3 linked regions of the Sus scrofa genome follow. The protein of the gene in region 2 purifies or fractionates together with the protein of the main gene of each other region. This does not show direct contact. Links are inferred from orthologs where the notes say so. Each region holds a gene or a part of one and is shown on either strand. Other genes may lie near its edges.

Region 1 (7,051 bases), on a different chromosome or scaffold from region 2:
GTCCTGAGGTGGCGCCTGCTGGGCCCGCCGCTTCTTCTTCGCATAGTAAACCTGCCGGGGACCGGCCAGGAGATGCGGACTGGTGAGCGGCCTGTGCTGGCAGGCCAGGACCCCTCCGCACCCAGCCCGGGCCCCCACCCCGCCCACCTCATTGATGTGCTTGTAGGTCTTGATGAGGTCCACGGAGAGCTTGCGCAGCGGGGCCGAGGTCGCGTCTCGGAAGGCCAGGGGCAACCTCCGCGGCAGCAGCCGCACATCAGGCAGTACCTGGGGGGAGGGCGGGGGGCCAGGTGGGCACTGAGGCCAGGCCTTCCCCTCCGACCTCAAGCGGGAGCCCTATCTGGGCAGCTGGTTCCTCGTGACCACAGGCAGGACCATGTGGTCATGGTCTGACCACCCCGCTAGAATGGAAACTCCCCAAGGACAGAGACTTGATCTCCTTCTTGCTTTATGTCCCGTGTCTGGAACAGGGCCTGGCACACAGATGTTCATTAGAAATTTGCTCAGAGAGGGACGGAGTGAACGGTTTACCCCGGACCTTTCATCCCATCCCTTTCGCTCTTTCCTAAACCTCCGTGGGGGAGATCTGAGAGAAACCTGGGGCTCTGCCCGCCCAGTCCTTCACCTGGAACCACCCCTTCTGGGCATTCCCCCTTGAGGGCCCCTATCTTGCTTTACCCTCATTCCCTGGGGCCATCCCAACCCTCACCCTCCACCCTGTGCAGCTCTGCCCAGTTTTTCATCCTAAGGGTCTTGGATCTGGATCCAGCACCCTGGACCTCCCGCTCCAACCCGCTTCAGATTCTACGGTTCAAAACCTAACAGTCTCTACCCCTGAAGCTCCCGACCTGCATCCCCAGGCCCTGCTGACTCCAAGACCCTTTAGGCTCAACCCTCCTCCTCTTTTACCCCCTCTAGATCTTCCTCTCTGGACTTTTTTTCCCTTTGGTGAACATTTATTGAGTATTTACTATGTGCCAGATACTGTTCAGAGCATTTCCAACTGCATTTCATTAACGTGTTCAAGCCACACAATAACCGTGGGAGGCAAGTGTAATTATAGGCTGCATTTGACAGAAGTGGAAACTGAAGCAGGGAGAACCTACCTAAGTAACACGACCCCCCGGGCCAGGATTTGAACTCAGGCTCTCCAAACCTCGACTGCCAGCAACTCCTCTATATCTTCCACTCCCTTGGCACCCTTCATGGACCCCAGAGATTGTCCTAGACAGCGTACCATCTTTTTGGCTCCAAGACTCCTATCCCAGCCTCCCCCGACCCCAGGCAGGTGAGGAGCCAGGTGAACGCGTACCTGCGTGTGCTCCTGGGGCCCCGGGAAGCCAGAGAAGGGACCATGGCCCGGTGGGACGGCCATGGTGGGCTCAGAGGGCCGCAGGGGAGCGAGGCCTGGAGCGGGAGCCCGGCCGGGGGGCGCCTTCTCGCATCCTGCACCTCGGCTGCCACCGCCGCTGAGACCTGAGAGCGGGCGGGAGGCAGGGGAACAACATGGAACAAGGGGATGTGTGGGACAGTGCCAGGAAGGAGAGAGGGGGACATGAAGAAGAAGGCAGGGCACAAAGGGAAGAAGAAAAGGATACAACAGAGCAACAGGTGGCAATAAAAAAAGGGGAAGAGAGAAGTGGAGGTGGGAGGCAGAGCGGGTCCCCTCAAGTGGTTACAAAGTAAATGAAGAAGGCGGCAGAGAGGAACGTGGAAAAGGGAATGATTGGGAGCCAGGCAGGGATATGGGCCATGACAGGAAAGGACAGAAAGACACCAATAATTGGGGGGGGGGGGGAAGAGAAGAGAGAAACCACAGACAGCAGAGCGGTAGGGTTCACTCTCCTTCCCATTTCTGCTCACCGCCCTCCCCAGGGCCCCTCACACATGATCCTGCCCTCCTGGAGTCCTTCCCTGAATGTCAGGATCTCGTCCCAGCAAGGTCCTTCCATCTCGAAATCTACCCTTCCCAGTAGGTCCCCCAATCCAAAGAACTCTGGAGTCGGAATCCTCCCAAACCACTTGAGTCTTCTGGGCCCCCTCCAAACCACAGCAGAATCCTCTGCAGGCCCTGGGGATCAGGGTCCTCAGGGACCTCCTGCCCACACCAAGGTTATCTGAGGACCTCTTCCTAAGAGTCCTACCCCTATGGCGTTCTCACCCGGCACACCCTTCCCAGGAGCCCCTCCCCAGATCTGTCAAGACTTCTTCCCTATCTTTTCTCCCATCGGGGACTGCCCCTCATGTAATTTGTCAAACCATATTTTGGTTCCCCCATGTCACAGCCTGGCTCCCCCTTCCCAGATTATTCCAAGGTCCCCCTCCCAATCAAGGCCCCACTCCTTCGGATGGAAACAAGGGGGAGGCGTCTCTTCCCACCGATCGTCCTTCTCTCTCCTACATGGATCCTACCCTCAACCTCCCCAACCAGTATTTCTGTCAGGGCTCTTTCTCCAGTCACTTCTCTACACCAGGGTCAATCCACAACGGTGCCCATTCCTAGAAGGCCCCCGCGGCCAAATTTCCCAAATATTACAGAGTTCTCCCCTTCCACAATATCTGCCACACCAAAATCCTCTCGTCACGGGCCTTCTCCCATGTCATTCCTTTTCTCCTATGTCAAGCCTTGCACTCCACGATCCCTCTCTCTTGGAGCTCCCCCACAAAACCTCTTCCCCACCAGAGGGGCCCTCCCACACCAGGACCCTCTCCCAGCCTCCGCCCCCTACCCGGGTCAGGGCTGGCGCGGGGCCCACGGGGGGCTGGGGCGCGGTGGGGCCCCCAGTGGTGTGGGCGAGCGGCCAGCATGGCGGCGGTAGCGGTGGTGAGAAGACGGCCGCCTGTCCCGGCCCGGCCGGCCCGGCAAGCCCCGCGGCGGGGAGGGCAAGCGGGACAGGCGGCCGGGTGGGTGACAACAGCAGCCGCCGCCGCTGGGGGCGGGGAGAGGAGGAGACGAGGGTCAGCCCGGGGCAAGCGGGGGAAGGGGAAAGCAGGTGGACGGGGGAGGGGCGGGTTAACCCTCGCCCCGCCGGCCCCGCCCAGCGCAGCCACCTGCCCCCGGGGACCCCGGCGTCCCGCCCTCCACCCTGGGGGCCCGCCCCGGCCAGGGGGAACCCGGCGGGCGGGGCTGGACCGAACCTGGCAGTCCACACCTACCATGGCAACAACCGTGCCATTGGTCACTACTGCCAAGAGCTCAACCAATCACAGTCCAGGACAGCTGTTGCTAGGCGACGACGATGCGGCCGGCGGAGCCGAGCCCAAACAAAGGGCGGGAGCGGGGCCCCGCTACCCCCTCCCAGCTTCCCTCCCGAGACAGCTCTCTCCGCTCGGGCTCGGCCCCTTCCAGGAATCCAACTATGAATAGCCAGGCAAGGCCTGCACCTGCCTGCCGTCCCCCTCCTCTCCTCCCTCGGCCTCGTGCTAAGTCTCGCGGCGACGCAGGCAGGGCGGGTCCCGTACTACCCTCCTCCCCGCGAGCGCGTGCCGCTCCGTCCATAGCCGCGTTGTTACCTGAGGCCGCGAGCAAGGGAACTCAAACTGCTCGGGAAGCCCGAGCTCAGACCTGCCCACTGGCTGAAAGTATCCGGCGGACGCGGCGAGCCAGGGCCCCGATTACCCAGTAATGCAACCAGCAAAATGGCGACCACAACAAACCGGCCCCCCCGCCCTGGACTCCGCCCCCACCCCCCCAAGCTGTTTCTCCTCACGTGACCCAGGGCAACACTCTGCGCCTGCGCTCGGAGGCGCTTACTGGTCTCCCAGCACAGCAAGCTATGAACCCCGCCCAAGCGCCGAAATCCAAGTTACGGCTGCGTAAGAGCCCGCTAAGAAACGAGCACGCGCGGTGCCACCGGGAGAGTGCCCGCCCCCACCACGCAAGTAGACCAAGGGCGCATGCGCCCCGTTAAGAGCGGTCGCCAAGCAATCAGCGGCAAACAAGAAGGACGCATAAGTCTTTTAATAGAAAAACACGCGTGTAACAGTAGCAACACAGTCTCTCGCGATCCAGATGGCACTGGGCTTCAGTTCTTCACCTTGGGGGGTGGTCTGTGAGAGGAAACAGATGCGGGGACTCAGAACTTACAAGCACTTTGGGGTACTCCTAACTAGTATTGAGACTCCCGGCTCTGGTGGATTACTGGGCCCCCTGCTTACCTGTACACACCCACGACCACAGCGTGGTCTCTTTCGTACGGCTCTAGGGTCAGCTGCTCCTGGGGCTTCATGTTCTCCTGCTGCATCTTTTTCACTTCAGAGGCAAACACGGCCTCAGCAGAGGCTGTGGAGTCAATGCAGTTGGCCTGAAGAAGAAAAAGGGTCTGAAGTCTGCAGCAAGGGTTTGGGGCTGTTTTCCCTTTGTTGTGCTCTTTCAAACCAGTAGAATTTTTAAGTTGGAAAATAGGCTTTGGAAATGTAGGGAAAGACTTTGTTAGGTAAGTTTTTAAGTAGTTTGGGTTTGAAACAGGAAGGCTTCAGCAGAGCTCTATTTATCTAAAGGCAAGTGTTTAAAATTTCCACTCTGGTTTCCCCCCCTCCCCGCCCCCATTTCCTCTTTAACAATCGCAATAATGCAGCTGAGATTACTAAAACAAATGCAGCAAGTGGTTAGGAAAGGCTCAATCTGGTTGAAAGTACACTGGAGAGGTCTCTGTATTTCAAAATAAAACGTTTTTAAAAATGTACCTAGCATTTATCTGGTATTTATACCAGGTTCTTGGCTAAACACTCCATACATATATTGAGAAATTTAGTCCTTACATCAACCCTAAAAGAGTTAGGACTAACATTGCTATTTCACAAGTGAAGCAACAGGCATAATATATAGGTCACCTGCTCAAAGACACACACTGGGATTCAAACTCATACGTGGGGATCACGCACTGAACCACGACGGTCTACTGCCTCTTTAAATCCTAAGGTTTTTAGTTTTGCAGACATTTTTCATTACTTGCTATTTGATTGGGTGGTTTATAGGGAGCTGGGTAGGGAACACACTGACTGGATTAGGACGGAGGGAAGCCCCCCCCCGCCCCCGCCCGAGTTTTAACTGGCTACATGGCAGGTATAGAGAGAAGATACTGCCACCCCATCTTAGACTCCTCTATGCCCCGCACCTTAATGGAGATCACAAAGTGTCCTCCATTGCGTAGGAAGGTGTGAGCATTCAGGGCTACAATCCGAGTCTGGTCTGGCTGGGCCACGTCAGCAAAGATCACATCCACCATCGCTAGGAGAAAGAAGTAACACTTACAAGCTGGATCCACAGGATCGTCCCAGCTCCTCCCCGGGGCCTGTGCCCCATCACCAGCAGGTTCCGGGCAGAGTCCTCCCTGCTTCCAGTCTCACTTCCCCCCATTGATCCCCCTCCCTCCACAGTGCCCCCAAGATGGGCCAAAAAAACCCTCAATCACACCGTTCACTCATTCCTCTTATAAACCATGTTGCCACCTACTCTGTGGCCAGCCCCGGGCTGGGCGTGGGGGACAGAGAGACGAGTCAGACCCGGACCCTGCCCTCGAGACGCTCCCGGGTCTGGGGGGGAGACAGACACGTCATCAAAAAGGCAAGTAAAGGTGAGCACGTACAGGCAAGAGAGTCTGCAGGACTGTCACACAAAAACAAGCCACAGGCTAAGGGGTATGGCATGAAGGCACCGGGGAAAAACTCACAGAAAGAAAAACCAGGGGGATGATGCAAGCAGTATTTTTAAGGCAGTGTGGGTCAAAAAAAAAAAAAAAAAAAAAAAAAAATGGAAAAGATGGTGCAATGAAAACTGACTTTCAAAAACCAGGAAAAGCAGACATCAAATGTTCATATCGGTTACCTCTGGGGGTGGTTTATAAGGCACTCCATTTTTACACTATGCTTCTGAATTTTTGCATTTTTTTTTTTTTTTTTTTTTTTTTTTTAAAAACCAAGGTCATTGACATTCACAGCGGGCTCCTCTGGGCCAGGCCACGCTCAGTTGTGCTTTCTGGGGTATGATCTCCCCAGAGGAGGGTGAGGACCTCTGAAGGAGGAGGTTACACACAAGCCGGGGGCAGTGTGAAAGGTACCGTGTTTTGGAGGGAGGCAGGAAGGACGGGGGAGGGTTCCTGGGGGGGAGGGCCCTCCGAGGGTACCAGACACATGAAGTGGGACGGCCACCTCCACAGCCTCACCGGGCTCTCTCCACCCTTTCCATTCCTGTAGACTCGAGAGGCCTGTGCATCCACTCCAATTCCATCCAAATCAGGGCTCTGGAGGCCGCATCCAGGAAACCTGGAGCGACCTGTCCTACCCCCACCAGGGCCAAGCCCTGGGCCCCTCACCGATGAGCATGCGGTATTTGTGCGGGTGCCGAGCATCTTCGATGACGGGAATGATGTTGGTCCTCTTCTTGGCCAGGTTAATGAGGTCACGGCCGGAACGGTGGGAGAACTCAACTGCATAGACCAGACCGTCCTAAAACAAAGCAAAAGCAAACAAAAATAACGATACTAAGTTCTCACGGCTGGAGTGCCTATTTGGGGGTCACATATTGTACACATCTCTTCAAATCCCTATCATTTAATGATTTATTATCACTTTACAGATGAACACACTGAGGTCTAGAAGATGTGAAATCATGGGCTAAGGGTTATTCAATCCGACTTGGTCAGATCTGAGGGCCCAGGCCTCCAATGTAGGCTTAAAACCAGGACGTCGTAATAGCTAAGAATATTTAATGGGCCAGGCACTGCTTTAGGCACATAATAGGAATTAACTCACTTATTTTCACAATGACTCTATTTTCCAGAGGGGCAAACTGAGGCGCAAGAGGGTAAGTAACTAGCTGAAAGCCACTTCACCGTCAAAAGCCCGCAGTGGAGCCGGGGGTTTTTAACCACAGCCTACAGCGGTAGAGCTGAGTGAGAGGTCCTGAAGCGAGATGCATAGGCGCCCTCTCAACAGGGAGCCGTCCACAGCCCAGAAACACAGGTCCTGGCAGTTCCTGCTGTGGCTCATCGGGTTAAGAATCTGACTAGTATCCATGAGGACGTGGGTTCGAACCCCTGGCCTTGCTCAG
Region 2 (7,051 bases):
ACCAGACTGATGCTGAAGCGTGTGCATTTCAGCTCATCCAGAGTCTGCTTCTGTAGCTGCTCAGTGATCAGGGTTATCATGATTCTCCCCGGGATTTGACTTGCACACTGTGGAGCAAATGATGGATGTCTTCCCTGTCGTTCTTCCAGACCTCACTCGTGAGCCGTCTTCTGCCACTGCAGCACCATTCTAGCACCATTGGGACTTCCCTCTCCAGTCATGCCTGCTGAGTCTGCCAATTATAGAGGGACCAGCCCCAAGTGATATTAGAGATGTACCTAGTCCAGAGATAGAAAATGCATGGCACACATACCACAGCATCCCTATGTCAGGCCTCTGGCAGACATCATTAATTGACAACAGCTCTTTCATGCTAAGCCTAAACATGGCCTCAGAAACATTCTCAACTTGGTAGTCCAGATAACCAGTAAAATGAAATGGACTTGGTAAGCAAATTGAAACCTATTTGCCACTCCTAACCTGGTTCATGCCCTGCTCTGCATATCCAGAACACTGGCACCACTTAGAAAACAGCTCAGGAGTTCCCGTCGTGGCACAGTGGTTAACGAATCCGACTAGAAACCATGAGGTTGCGGGTTCGATCCTTGCCCTTGCTCAGTGAGTTAACGATCCGGCGTTGCCGTGAGCTGTGGTGTAGGTTGCAGATGCGGCTCGGATCCCGCGTTGCTGTGGCTGTGGTGTAGGCTGGCAGCTACAGCTCCAATTCGACCCCTAGCCTGGGAACCTCCATATGCCGCGGGAGCAGCCCAAGAAATGGCGAAAAGACAAAAAAAAAAAACAAAAACAAACAAACAAACAAACAAAAAACCAGCTCAAAGGAGAGAGACGCCCAAATTGTTATTTCTGTCCTGATTAGTCCAATATTTTATCTTCTAGTCATAAGCAAAGAGAGGTAAACTTTTCCTAAACATCAGAAATATTAATAGGGAACAAAGAGGAACAGTGGTTGTAGGAATGAATTTCTGCTTCAAAACAATCAGAGTAAACAAGGTATTATGTTCTCCTTAGCCTCAAGAGCTGCTATCTTATTATTCTTCTCCAACAGATACTGTACATATTCTCTCATAAGAGAATAAGGAAATGGTACCAGGGTGACTCCATTTACATTTCAACTCTAGAGAGATTGAAAACAACTCTGACTTCACTCAACTAAGTTTTTAGCCTGATCTGACTCAAAGACCATGAATACAATTAATCAAGACTCTTTCTCATGGTCAATTACAGCAGAAGCAAACAAATTCTATCAGAGAACAGGCTTCAAACCCACACAACTGCCTGAGGGGCCTTGCTCAAGGGAGGAGGGGAAGTTAACCTAACATTTCCAAACTGTTCTGCCTATTCCCAGAAATGACCAGCAGGCAGACGGCACACCAGACGTCTAAGTAACATTTGCTAGCAGATACAACTATCAAGAAATCAAGGAGTTCCCATTGTGGCGTAGAGGAAATGAATCCAACTAGGAACCATGAGGTTGTGGGTTCAATCCCTGGCCTCACTCAGTGTGGCCAGCAGCTGTACCTCTGATTAGACCCCTAGCCTGGGAATCTCCATATGGCCCTAAAAAGCAAAAAAAAAAAAAAAAAAAAAAAAAAAAAAAAGAAATCAAATATGGGTCCGATTGGCAAATCTAACCTTTCTTTGCCTCAGTTTACTCATAGGTAAAATGGGCAGAATAACCACACTCTGTCACTGGAAAAATATTATGCCAAATATCACTATGTAAAAAGTATACATCCAAGCCTATACAAATCAGGAGTCCACACAAACTGCCGGGTTTCTCATCCCTCCTATTTGATCTTCTACAAACCCTCAGAATGCCAAAAGTGCTAATACCAACATGAAGAAGGCAATTGGGTTGATCTACTTGGCTGGATCCCAACCTCCTTCACCTGCACACCAAGAGAAGCCCAAAAGGGTTGTTCTGTGACCTTGAGGGCAGACCACTCTCTACCTAGGCAGAAAAAGAGGGGATCCTCTCTACCCACTCTCACCTCAAAAGAAGGCAGACCACAAGGAAATGCAAAGAAATACACCTTCGTGTACTTGGAGTTTAAGGGAAAAAAGGTGTTGGAGAAGTCAGTCATCACTATGGCTAAATAACATTTTCATGCATAATTATTACTACCACTCCGAACAGAGTTCCAGCTTCCTGGGAGCTCCTTTCGGCTGCTTCCCCTATGTTCTTGTAGAAGCTAAAGCTTATATCACTTCTGCTCTTGGTTTCTTAACTCTGCCCTCAAAAATCAACCAGAGAGGGAACCTAACTGCAGGCTTTTACCCCCAGACACCCCAGGCCTCAAGCTGACCAGCCATGAGGAGCAGGGAGTGAAGCAAAACTCTTTTAAGCTCTTCATGAGGCATTTAGCCAAACAGCAAACTTCTAGCCCTCTCTGGGATCAAGGGAAGAGAGTGATTTTGTGTTTTTCTGCATTTTAATTGTTGGGATGTGGCCACACACGGCGGTAATTGGAACAATGCAACTACCACCACGCAACTGATACTCTCTGTCTGAGTTTCCTAAAACAGGCCAGGCTGAGAGGGGGAACAGAACGGAAGCCATAAGGAATCAAACCAGGACACAAAAGAAGGCAAACCAGCTCCACGAGGGGCCTCCTCTTTCTCAGGCAGGCATAGAAAAAAGTGTAAGAAGCCCTCTCTTGCCGCCTTCCTTCCCCTTCCATTTTGTGTATCTGAGGGGCAGACAGCCCTGAACGTTCACTAAACAAGTTAAAACTTCTCAGCTTAACAACTGGCACGGGGCTCAGCCCTACACAGAGCAGCAGGCGGCTAGGCCCTCCTCCAAACCCCACCAGGCCCAACTCTCAATCCAGGGTTTCTCTCCACCATCACCCCCCCAAATAAAGGTTGGACCCCTGCCACCCCGACCCCATGGGTTGGCAGTAATCCCTGACATTAGGGTTTCAGGGATGCTGAGGTTGTGCTGAAACCTGGAGAACCTAGGATCAAGTGAGGCCAAAGGGGAGGAGAGTCAAAAACCCATGGGGACCTTCCCCCTAGGTCCCAGTCCCACAGCTCTGGGGGAGACTAAGGAAAACATGAGGCAGGCATGGAGGTGCATGAACAGGTATGTAGGGACCTGACTGCTCTTCCTCCATATGGCACTGGTGGGGATAAGGGTGACAAGTGGGGAGCACCCCTCCCCCCACCCCAATGAAGAAGCAAAAGGCTAGGCCCCCCTTCCAATCTTCAACCTCTCCCTCGGTTGCCCTGCCTGTCCCGGCGGGGTGGGGCATGGGGCGTCCGCTGCCGCCCCCCCCCCCGGGGGGGCGCCAGGGCACGCTCATGGGGGCTGTCGCTCGTCTCTTCCCAATCAGCTCCCATCACCTGGCCGCGGGAAGCGAACTCAGGACGCAGAGGATGGAGAGGGTCTGGGACTTAGCACTCCGCCACCCCCTCCCCCACCGGGTCCCGTGCTCTCCCCGCGGAGGCGGCCAGCGAGGCCCTGCCTCGCAGGCGGCCAGGCTGGGGGAGGGGAAAAAGGGAAAGAGGGAGGGACGGTCGAGGTGCCCGCCCCGAGGCCACAGCGCCACCTGCCCTCCGCCACCTACCGCGGCTCCTCCAGCTCCCAGGGCCGCGGCCAGAGCAGCTCTGAGCGCTCGGTTCGCCCCACGGTGCCCTTAAAAGGCGCCGGAGCGAACCAACGGGCCCCTGAGGAGAGCGGGGAGATCACCCCGATATGCAGAATCCCCCGAACCGTCCGCGGGGGCTCGAGCACCGCGTCGTTTATCTCTCAAAGCCCTTCTTGGATGGCGCTGTCGGGAAGAGGCCCGGCTCTTTGACTTAGCTACAAGGGTGGGTTCCTCATTATCGAGTCACCCCCTCCAACATATTGGAGAAGGTGGACTGACCCAGTTGGAGGCAAACGTCGAAACCCGCGGGGGAGGCCGCGTCGGCTGAAGGTAAACAAAGCCATCGCCTTCGCCCTCTATTACTACATAGATCCACTTACAGCCCTCAACTCGGTTCCAGTAGTGTAAAAGAACTAATTCAGGTTCCTCTCACCTGCTCTTCTGTCCCACCCTCTACAGCCGCCTTTCTGAAGGAATCCCCTTTCTCCTAGCAGAGGACCCGTCCGCGGCGTGAAGGCTTCTGGGAAGTGTAGTCCAAGCGCCGATTAGGGCCTGCTCTGAGTCCCAGAGCCCCTCTCCCAGCTGCCAGATCGGCTCGAGCCTTAAGAATCCAGGACTTATAACGGTTGCGGGGCCGTTCCTACTTGGTTCTGTAATTAGCCGTTACCCAAAATATCGTAAAGCTGACCAGGGCCCAGGGCTGTTCACTCCTCCTCCCCTACGCACCCCCCCCCAGCAGGATGAGGTAATGGGATTGTGATTATGACATCATAGGCGGTTCAGTTGCTTGCGTGGGGGAGGGGGAAGGGGGAGGGGAAAATTATGGTGGTTACAGCTGGACCACTTTCCTTTAGACAGAAAGGGAGGGAGCAAACAGACAGATGAGGGGAAAATATTGATGGCTCTGTTTTCTCCTCAGGAAGAGGAAACCACCTTTTACAAAATCTCCACCACTCCCACCACCTCCCACCTCAGCCAAAGTTTCAGTCCTTTTTTAAGAATCTGAATATAGTAGTAGGTGAAGAGGTTGTGGAAAAGCTGGGTGATTTCTGGCTCTTATGTCAATTTGAGTCTCAGCTATCGAGAAGGTTTAGAGAGACGGTAAAAAAATGGGAAGATGGGGTGGGTTAAACAATGCCTTCGTGTTATGATCTCTTAAAGGACAGAGTTTTAGACTTCATTTTTAATCGATTGGAAAGAAGTACTGCAAGTAATTTCATTGTCACATTCAGCAACAAGTCCTCTGAAAGACATGTTTTCCCTAAATATTTTGTGCTCCACTCAAGTTTGGGACAGATAATTGTAATCAGCTAGAACGTAGAGCCAGTGGTGGGGATCTTCCTCACAGATCCAGGAAAGGGAGGAGGCAGGAGCCACCAAATCTGCAAGCTGAAAAAGAAAAGTAGAGGGAAAGTGATGTATTTATGAAGAAAATGGGGGGGGGAATATACTGCACACTTGCTTGCCCTGCACATTTCCCTTAGCAAAAGAAGGCACAGGGGCATGAAGTACAAGAGACATGGTTTTCCTGGAGCTCCTGTTGGTGGTGCAGCAGAAACAATCCAACTAGGAACCATGAGGTTGGGATTACATCCCTGGCCTTGCTCAGTGGGTTAAGAATCTGGCATTGCCATGAGCTATGGTGTAGCTTGCAGACGCGGCTCAGATCCTGCGTTGCGTGGCTCTGGCTATGGCCAGCAGCTGTAGCTCTGATTCGACCCCTAGCCTGGGAATCTCCACAAGCCCCAATTGAGGCCCTAAAAAGCCAAAAAAAAAAAAAAAAAAAAAAAAAAAAAAGACAGACATGGTTTCCAATAACTGCTGTTGGTGGAGCACTTATGTTTCAGGCACCATGATGCATACTTTAAATGTGTATTCTCATTTTTGTTTACAATAATAAAATGAGACAAAAATCTATTTGACAGATAAAACAGCAGGAGAGGTTAAGTGACTCCCTTAACAGTGATGGACAGAGGTATTAAAAAGCAGTTGAGGAATTCTCTTGTGGTGCAGTGGGGTAAGGCACTGAAGTGGCTTGAGTTGCTGCTGTGGCATGGGTTACATCCCTGGCCCAGGAACTTCAGCATGCTGAGGTGGATGTGGGAGGAAAGCAGTCTTAGGCTCTAAAACCTCTGATCTTCACCATTAGGTGATCCCTCTTTTTATTTAATAATAAAAGACCATGCTTACTATACTTAAATGGTTGAGTAAATACTGAAAGAAACTGAGACACTTAAAACCCTCCAAGTGAGGTTTCAGGTCTCATTTCAAAGGAAGATGACACTCATTTCATCAAGTATAAAATAGCTTCCCCAGTGCAGCTCAACATCTCTCCCATTACTAACTTTAACTAGATCTCCTTATGCCACTTTTGCTTCAGGTTTTTTTTTTTTTGTTTTTTTTTTTTTTTGTCTCTTGCGTTTTCTTGGGCCACTCCCGTGGCATATGGAAGTTCCCAGGCTAGGGGTCGAATCGGAGCTGTAGCCGCCGCCTACGCCAGAGGCACAGCACTGTGGGATCCCAGCCGTGTCTTCAACCCATACGACAAGCTCACGACAACGCCAGATCCTTAACCCACTAAGCAAGGCCAGGGATCGAACCCACAACCTCATGGTTCCTAGGCGGATTCGTGAACCACTACGCCACGACGGGAACTCCCTTCAACGGTTTTTTTTTTTTTTTTTTTTTTTTTAACTCATGTCTTGCAATTTGTCCTGCTCTCTTATTTTCCTTCTTTTGTTCTTGGGCTACTACCTTGAACCCCATCATAACTCTGGCCTCCTAGGCCAGATCCCATCTCTGACCCTGCTCCAATGGATTGCAGCAGAGGATACTACCTGGGTTCCCTTCTGGTCTCCATCCAGATTCCCTGAGGGTTGCAAAGGGGAAGAATCCATTGGCTCTAAGAGATTCTCCATTCCCCACCTAGAGAGACGGTAGAGTCAAAGGAACATGAACCTCATTCACACTCTCCCTTTTCAGCCAGTGAAAGCTAAACCTCTGCAAAGTGGAGAGAGGTGGGGCTTAGTCCATCACTCAAAGAAGGAACCAGGAATAGTGCACACACCCCTCAGCCTGCAGAGGCTGGTTGGGGGGTCCCAGGAATGTAGGGCTCTTCTCCACTGCCTGATCTGGGCATCCCAGGATCGACGGCTGTACCTCCTGTTCTTGTTTGGCGTTTGAGGGTGAAGTCCTGGCAGTCGCTGTGCCCTGGCAACAACAGATTGTGTCAGACTGAGGTCAAGGTGAAGGGGCACAGCTCACTACTTACCACAGCGAATTAGGAGACGCATTAGGGATTCCCTGAGAATGAGGTAGGATCAGTGCCCTCAATCCAAAGAAAATCTTTAAACACCAAACTTCCCAACTCTCTGATATTCTTTCTTCTGGGAAGGGGAATTAGATATTCCAATGCCCGCAGAAGTCAAGATAGATATAAA
Region 3 (6,951 bases), on a different chromosome or scaffold from region 2:
TTATCGTTTTAAAAACCTCACTTTCAAAGATTTTAGAGATGTGAAATTCCTGTTATCCAAGCTAGGAATCTGAAATCAAAGAACCACCTAGTAGGTTCATATTCTTGTCACAAACTGCCTAAGTCAAAAATCCTTTACTCTCATCTTAAAAAAAAAAAAAAAAAAAAAAAGCCATTTACTGCAATTATGAATTTTGATGTTCACAGCTGCAGAACTGTTATACCTGTGACTTCACTATATACCCAAACTATGAGAAACAAAAGTCACTGATTCTACTGTTGACACAGGACATGGTGATTTGATCAGCTGCCACGAAAGGCAGACAAAATGAAGCTTCAAAGAAAATTCTGAGTATTATAAGCAAACGCTGGTCCATACACACAGTTCAGGTCAAACTATAATCAACTTGTGAAGAAAATATGTACCTAAGTTATCAATGGAACTACTGTTAATAACTGATACCAGTAACACTGATTTCAAGTAAATAACAAAATATGCTATAAAGACAGCTCAATGAAAGAAATGTGACTGCTCAAAAAAATATTCCCTTATTTTTACCCGTTTTCCATCTTTGGTCTTCTTTAAGTTCCAAGTGCCATCTGGCAACTTCTCAAAGAACTTTCTTGCTTTTGGTGCTTGGTCAAGAATATGAGCAGGTGGAATACCCAGAACTTCCACAATTTTATTCATCTGATCTACCTGTATTAAAATAAAAATAAAAAAACCTGTAATTTCTACTGTAGTCCATCCTACTTCTGCTCATCAATTCATTCATTCACAAATAATAAATAATAAATAACTTAAGCATCTCCTGTGTCAGGCACTCCTCTGGGCATTAAGCATATAATAATGAACAAAAGAGATAAAGTCCCGGCCTTCCCGAAACCCAACATTCCACAGAGGGGCGGGCAGACAATTAAGTAAACACATACATCTGTGGGATGGCAAGTGGTCATGGATCCAATGGAGAATAAGGAATGACTGGAGGGAGTTTTTAAACTTTTAAGTTTTGGGAGAGTTTTAGTTAAATAACCCCACACAAAAGGTTTACTAAAGTGTGGACCTAATAAAAGTATTTTTTTAAGTGCAGATTCATTCAACAGATCAAGTGTCTATTATATGATAGAAACCATGCCCACTATAACTCAGCAGTAAACAAAAGAGACAAAAATCCCTGCCCCAAAGTTTCTATCATAGAGGAAGAGATCGCCAAGGAACAAATAAATACATAGTAAAATTTATTAGATCTGTCTAAGAACCATGAAGAAAATTAAAAGGGGATGAGGAGTCAGAAGGAACTGCAACTTAAAATAGGGTGCCAGGAGTTCCCATTGTGGCTCAGTGGTTAACAAATCTGACTAGGGACCATAAGGTTGCAGGTTCGATCCCTGGCCTTGCTCAGTGGGTTAAGGACCCTGCGTTGCCTTGAGCTGTGGTGTAGGTTGCAGATGCAGCTCGGATCCCACGTTGCTGTGGCTCTGGCGTAGGCCGGTGGCTACAGCTCCAATTCGCCCCCTAGCCTGGGAACCTCTATATGCTGCGGGAGCAGCCCTAGAAACAGCAAAAAAAAAAAAAAAGGGTGCCAGGAAAGGCTTCACCGAGAAGGTGACAGCAAAGCAAAACCTAAAGGCAGTGAGGGCAGGCCCGGGAGAGCGCCAAGGCAATGTGGCTGGGCCAGAGAGAGCTGGGGAGGCGGCAGGGCAGGTGGGAGAGAGAACAGGCGGGGCGGGGCGCTTTCCGAGCTACTCAAAGGACTGTGACTTCCACCATGAGTGGGGTGGAAGTCACTGAAGCTTCAGATGCCCATGAAAAGGTGACAAGAGGGTAATATTCTTTATGACTAAAAGAAAAACAGGGAGCTCCTGCTATGCTCAGTGGTAACGAATCCGACTAGTATCCACGAGGACGCGGATTGGATCCCTGGCCTCGATCAGTGGGTTAAGGATCTGGCACTGCTGTGAGCTGTGGTGTAGGTTGCAGATGCGGCTTGGATCCTGCATAGCTGTGGCTGTGGTGTAGGCTTACAACTACAGTTCCGATTCAAGCCCTAACCTGGGAAGTTCTATATGCTGAGGGTGCGGCCCTAAAATGACCAAAAACAACAACAAATTTTTTACACTATGGTAGTTACTCGAAAAGAGCAGCTCACTAGCTACAGTGAATTGAATTAAAGGCAAGAGGAAGGGACAGGTTTCTGACACTAGCTATTAAAGAGCTGTATAACCCAGTACAATTTATTACATTTTGTTAGTCTTTTTTTTCCCTCTCTTTTAAGGGCCTCACCTGTGGTATACGGAAGTTCCTGGACTAGGGGTCAAATCAGAGCTGCAGCTGCCAGCCTACGCCAGAGCCACATGGGATCTGAGCCACGCCCGTGACCTATGCTACAGCTCATGGCAAAGCTGGACCCTTAACCCACTGAGCCAGGCCAGGGATCCAACCTGCACCCTCAGGGACACTATGTTGGGTTCTCAACCCCCTGAGCCACAGGGGGAATCCCATCTTTCTTTTCTCATGTATAAATGAATGGACTGATCTGCAATGGTTAACTTCTCTTAAAGAAACAAAAAACAGAAGTTCCCAATGTGGCATAACAGGATCGGCAGTGTCTCTGCAGTGCCAGGATGCAGGTTCGATTCTCGGCCCAGTACAGTGGGTTAAAGGACCCAGCATTGCTGCCGCTGTAGTGTTGGTCACAACTGTGACTAGGATCTGGCTCCTGGCCCAGGAACTCCATGTTCCCTGGGGTGGCCAAAAAAGAAAGAAAGAAACAAAAAACAACAGAACCCCACAAGCAAATAGTTTTAAAACCAATGAACGCCCAATTCCTCTGACTGTAAGGGAGCTTGGGCTTTCTCCCTCTTGCCCTCCTCCCCTTGCCAGGCACTGCCTCTGCCCTTCGAAACCATCCAAGAACGCAGACGGAAAACCTGCAGACTAGAAGAATTATACTTAGTCTGTAGCTCTAAAATTCTACAGTCCTAACTTACCCGAAATTATTCAGATCAAACATCCATCAACCCTACTGGTCATGCATTATTTCAAATCATACTGTCAAAGTTTTACACGGATGTTTGCATTGTTTTCAGGGAGGCCCTCATTTCTTCAAGATTATTTTTTTCTTGAAAATTTTACTTAAAATCTGTAAAATTTATATCAAAGTACTTAACATGTGCCAATCTAATTTATCGTTCTCCATTAGCAGAATGAAAGATCTCACATTCCATCTCATAATTCTAAACTCACCATTACATGATAACTGAAAAAATTAAAAATGGATAAAATATGTTCAAAACTGACCTAACACCTGAATGACTAAGTTGGTAAAATAGACATCTTTTCCTCTAAACAACTCTCATATTACACTGTCAGAGATTAAAAACAAAAAGAAACCATGAAAAGAGAAACAATTTTTAAAGCGATCCATCACATACCTCATTGGCTCCACTGAACAGAGGTTCTCCAGTGTGCATTTCAACTAAAATACACCCAAGGGACCACATGTCGATAGCAAGGTCATAAGGCATTCCCAGTAGCACCTCTGGAGACCGATAAAAGCGACTCTGGATATACTGGTATATCTAAAATATATTTCAAAACAGTATTAATTCCAAAATAAGTTTTAATTGTAGTCAGCACTGTATTAACACAAATCTAATATTAACAGAATAAAACAACTGGGTTGAGTTCCATTTACTGATTTCAACATTAGTCTATGAATATTGTTTAAAGAACTAAACACATTTCAAGGGAGTGGTAAATCTGAGTGAAATGCACAATATATAAAATTCAAGTCCTTTTATTTAATTCAATCCTAACTGGTAATCAAGATATATCTTAAACAATTATAAAGAAAATATTATCAGAGGAAAATATTCTTGAGAACAATTTATTTCCTTATTAATTATTCTTTCCTGCTATGGCTGGTACTTGGCTTACCATTAATTTAACAGTTAAATTGTATTTAAACTAACCTAAGGAATGAAATACACTCTTGACATTAATTTAAAGCATTAGGAGTCATAAACTCAGCACAGTGTAACTGAAGATTCAGACATCTGTACTGTACTAGTTTCACAGATAAATCCTAGAAACACTGCCATCTAAAGATTCAGCTGAGTGTCATTTCTGACTAATCGCTTCTCTACCTTGTCCCCACCCCATCCCACTCCTAAGGCTTCTTCGAAGAAGAAAACCTTGAAACCGATTAGTTTCAATGAAGTGATCTGAGACTCCTTAAGAGCCTAATTTATCTCTTCTTAGCCACTTAAAATTTCTACCTAGAAATATCACAAAAGCAAAGACAGTTTGATTTTAAAAGGAAGAGAAAGAAATAAAATTCCTCCTAACTAAACTCTCTCACTTTAACACTCAAAACAGACAGCCAGCAGCATGGAGCTGCTTTCTCACAAAAGCTTCTGCGGCGCCACTACAACTCCAGCTAAGCCTCTGAGAATCATCTCAGGCTTCCACGAGCAAGTCAACCCAACCTCAAGATCTTCTCAGAGCAAAGAAAGTCTAATTCAAAGGGACCAAGAAGAAGTATTACATTTCCAAGTTTTTATAAGCCCCAAAGCTACTGAGACTATCTTATTTCCGAGTTTATCAAAGGAAATTTGTCGGCTACCCATCCAGTCGGTTAAAGCGGTGGTTGGTTTGTCTACAAAGTTATGCACCAGGATCCCCTGAGGAACTTTTTCTGAAACATACTTGCCCTGTCACCTTCTAAGACTGAGCCAGCAGACCTAAAGTAGGGCCAGTGCTGGCCTAGTTTAGAAACAAATTCCCATGGGATTCTGACACACTCACAGAGGTAAAAACTCACTGAGCTAAAGGCATAGTTGTCTTGGTTTGGCTGGAGAGACACAGCAGTGTTTGACATTAGGACAGAAGATATGATTTGGTTTAAAGAGGGAAAAAACTATGCAAGTCTAAAATCTTTTGCAATTACTCTCAAGATGGGCACGTATTTTCCATTTACAATAGACTTTATCCCACAGTGACTATGAGTATCTCTCGATTTTGAGAGGCATCTGAAACAGCAAACCTTGCTTCCTAATCCATCTATTTAAAAAAATTATTTCAATGATCTATAGTACTGCTTTCATAAGATAATTTGCAGAAAGTAATAAAAGGACAATCCTGTTAACTGGCCATAAACCTACTGTATTTAAAAGCTGGAAAAAAGTTGGACAGAACAGGAAATCTCATTAATTTGGAAAATTAAGAAATGGAAAACCATTATGAAACAGTGATACCTGAATGTTAGTTATATTTTTACTTTTTTTTAAAGAAATGTAGTTTCAATACTTAGTTAAATAGGAATAGTAATTAAAAAGTGAATGAAGTGTTATCAAATGGTGACCCTAGTTAGTTTCAAGAAGAGAATCTGTAAATTCTATTTTATATACAAAATACTGTTAGAGTAGCTTTCATAATGCTCAAAAGAATAGCAGGAAAAATCTTTCCTAAATCATCTAACCTAAATCTATTTATTGCTATGGACATGTCTGTTTTCAGCATTCTGAGGAAAATCAGTCTGGATACGTCTAAAAATTTATAAAAGGAAAAAAAATTTAAACTTATTTATCAAAACAACTATGTCTACTAACTGAGTAATTTCTAACTACATTGCCATGTGTAATGCAAAATTACCTCCCTTTTTTTTTCTTTTAACCCATCAGCTTTTTGTTGGGGGTGGTGGTGCTGCATCCATGGCATATGGAAGTTCCTGCGCTAGGGATCAAGTCCCAGCTGCAGCTATGACCTACACCATAGCTGTGGCAACACCAGACCCCTTAACCCACTGCACCACAGCAGGAACTCTAACCCATCAGCTTTTTGAGGAAAAACACTTATCTTGAGCTATATTTGGTGAAATATTTTACAGCAAGGATTCGATATTTCTATTACTGGAATTTCCCCAAACTTACACTAAAACTTCTATTTGGGAACTAAATCTTTTTTTTTTTGGGGGGGGGGGGGTCTTTTTGTCTTTTCTAGGGCCGCACCTGCAGCATATGGAGGTTCCCAGGCTAGGGGTCGAATCGGAGCTGTAGCCACCAGTCTACACCATAGCCACAGCAACGCCAGATCCGCATCTGCAACCTACACCATAGCTCACAGCAATGCCGGATCCTTAACCCACTGAGCCAGGTCAGGGATCAAACCTGCAACCTCATGGTTCCGAGTCAGATTCGTTAACCACTGAGCCATGATGGGAACTCCCAGGAACTAAATTTTTAATAAATCACCTAATATTTAATACATTCATCCCCTATTTTCTTTGCCTTTTGCATACAGATAATTTTTTAAAATAAACTTTGAAAAACCAATACATTCTAATTCAAAGTATTATTATTTGCATTTTAAAAGGTATTTTCGCCAAATAGGTAAAACACAAGGTGAGTCAAGTGCTACATTTGAACCATAAACCATCTTGTAATTACCTCCAAATTGTGTACAGATTAATAACATTTTAACTATCTACACCGTTTTACTCAATTCTATTTGAATTCACAAGTCCAGAAATAAATATACTTACCCTCTGCCCCAATTGACAAGAACTGCCAAAGTCAACAATCTTGATTGCACTGCGTTTGGGGTTACAAAGAAGGATGTTCTCAGGTTTTAGGTCACAGTGAATGATACTAAGTTCTGGAGTCGCAAGGAAAAGCAGTGCAGTGCACATCTGCTGTGCAAACTTTCGTGTTAGGTTCAAAGAGACACCTCGAAAATTGGTGTTCCTCAACAAGTCATAGAGGTTGTAGGACAGCATTTCAAAAACTAAACAGAGATGGTTTCGAAACATAAAGTGGCGTTTTAAATGCACTGAAAGAGAAAAAAGTTTCATTTTTAATTATACATAGCAGTAAGATGAGAATAACACATGCATGAACTCTCTAACAATCTATACACGACGTCAAATGCAGAGTGAAAATCAAACTAAAA

What was found.
Region 1: the proteins of FAM53C (region 2) and DYRK1B purify together in Homo sapiens (affinity purification with mass spectrometry; 3 studies listed by BioGRID and IntAct, counting the BioPlex papers as one, with this or other methods). This does not show direct contact. The link is inferred for Sus scrofa from reciprocal best matches to the Homo sapiens genes FAM53C and DYRK1B.
Region 3: the proteins of FAM53C (region 2) and DYRK1A purify together in Homo sapiens (affinity purification with mass spectrometry; 8 studies listed by BioGRID and IntAct, counting the BioPlex papers as one, with this or other methods). This does not show direct contact. The link is inferred for Sus scrofa from reciprocal best matches to the Homo sapiens genes FAM53C and DYRK1A.

What each region holds. Positions count from the first base shown.
Region 1 is NC_010448.4:48,310,837-48,317,887, forward strand, and holds the start of DYRK1B (dual specificity tyrosine-phosphorylation-regulated kinase 1B), read right to left. Parts: upstream 3,688-7,051; 5' UTR 3,160-3,687; coding exon 2,730-3,159; intron 1,477-2,729; coding exon 1,313-1,476; intron 268-1,312; coding exon 148-267; intron 52-147; coding exon 1-51. Other genes in the region: FBL (rRNA 2'-O-methyltransferase fibrillarin), read right to left, coding at 4,026-4,050, 4,159-4,304, 5,118-5,230, 6,315-6,447.
Region 2 is NC_010444.4:140,327,417-140,334,467, reverse strand, and holds the start of FAM53C (protein FAM53C), read right to left. Parts: upstream 3,868-7,051; 5' UTR 3,591-3,867; intron 233-3,590; 5' UTR 81-232; coding exon 3-80; intron 1-2.
Region 3 is NC_010455.5:201,138,836-201,145,786, reverse strand, and holds part of DYRK1A (dual specificity tyrosine-phosphorylation-regulated kinase 1A), read right to left. Parts: intron 6,832-6,951; coding exon 6,545-6,831; intron 3,582-6,544; coding exon 3,435-3,581; intron 700-3,434; coding exon 559-699; intron 1-558. UniProt on the Homo sapiens protein: Dual-specificity kinase which possesses both serine/threonine and tyrosine kinase activities. Exhibits a substrate preference for proline at position P+1 and arginine at position P-3.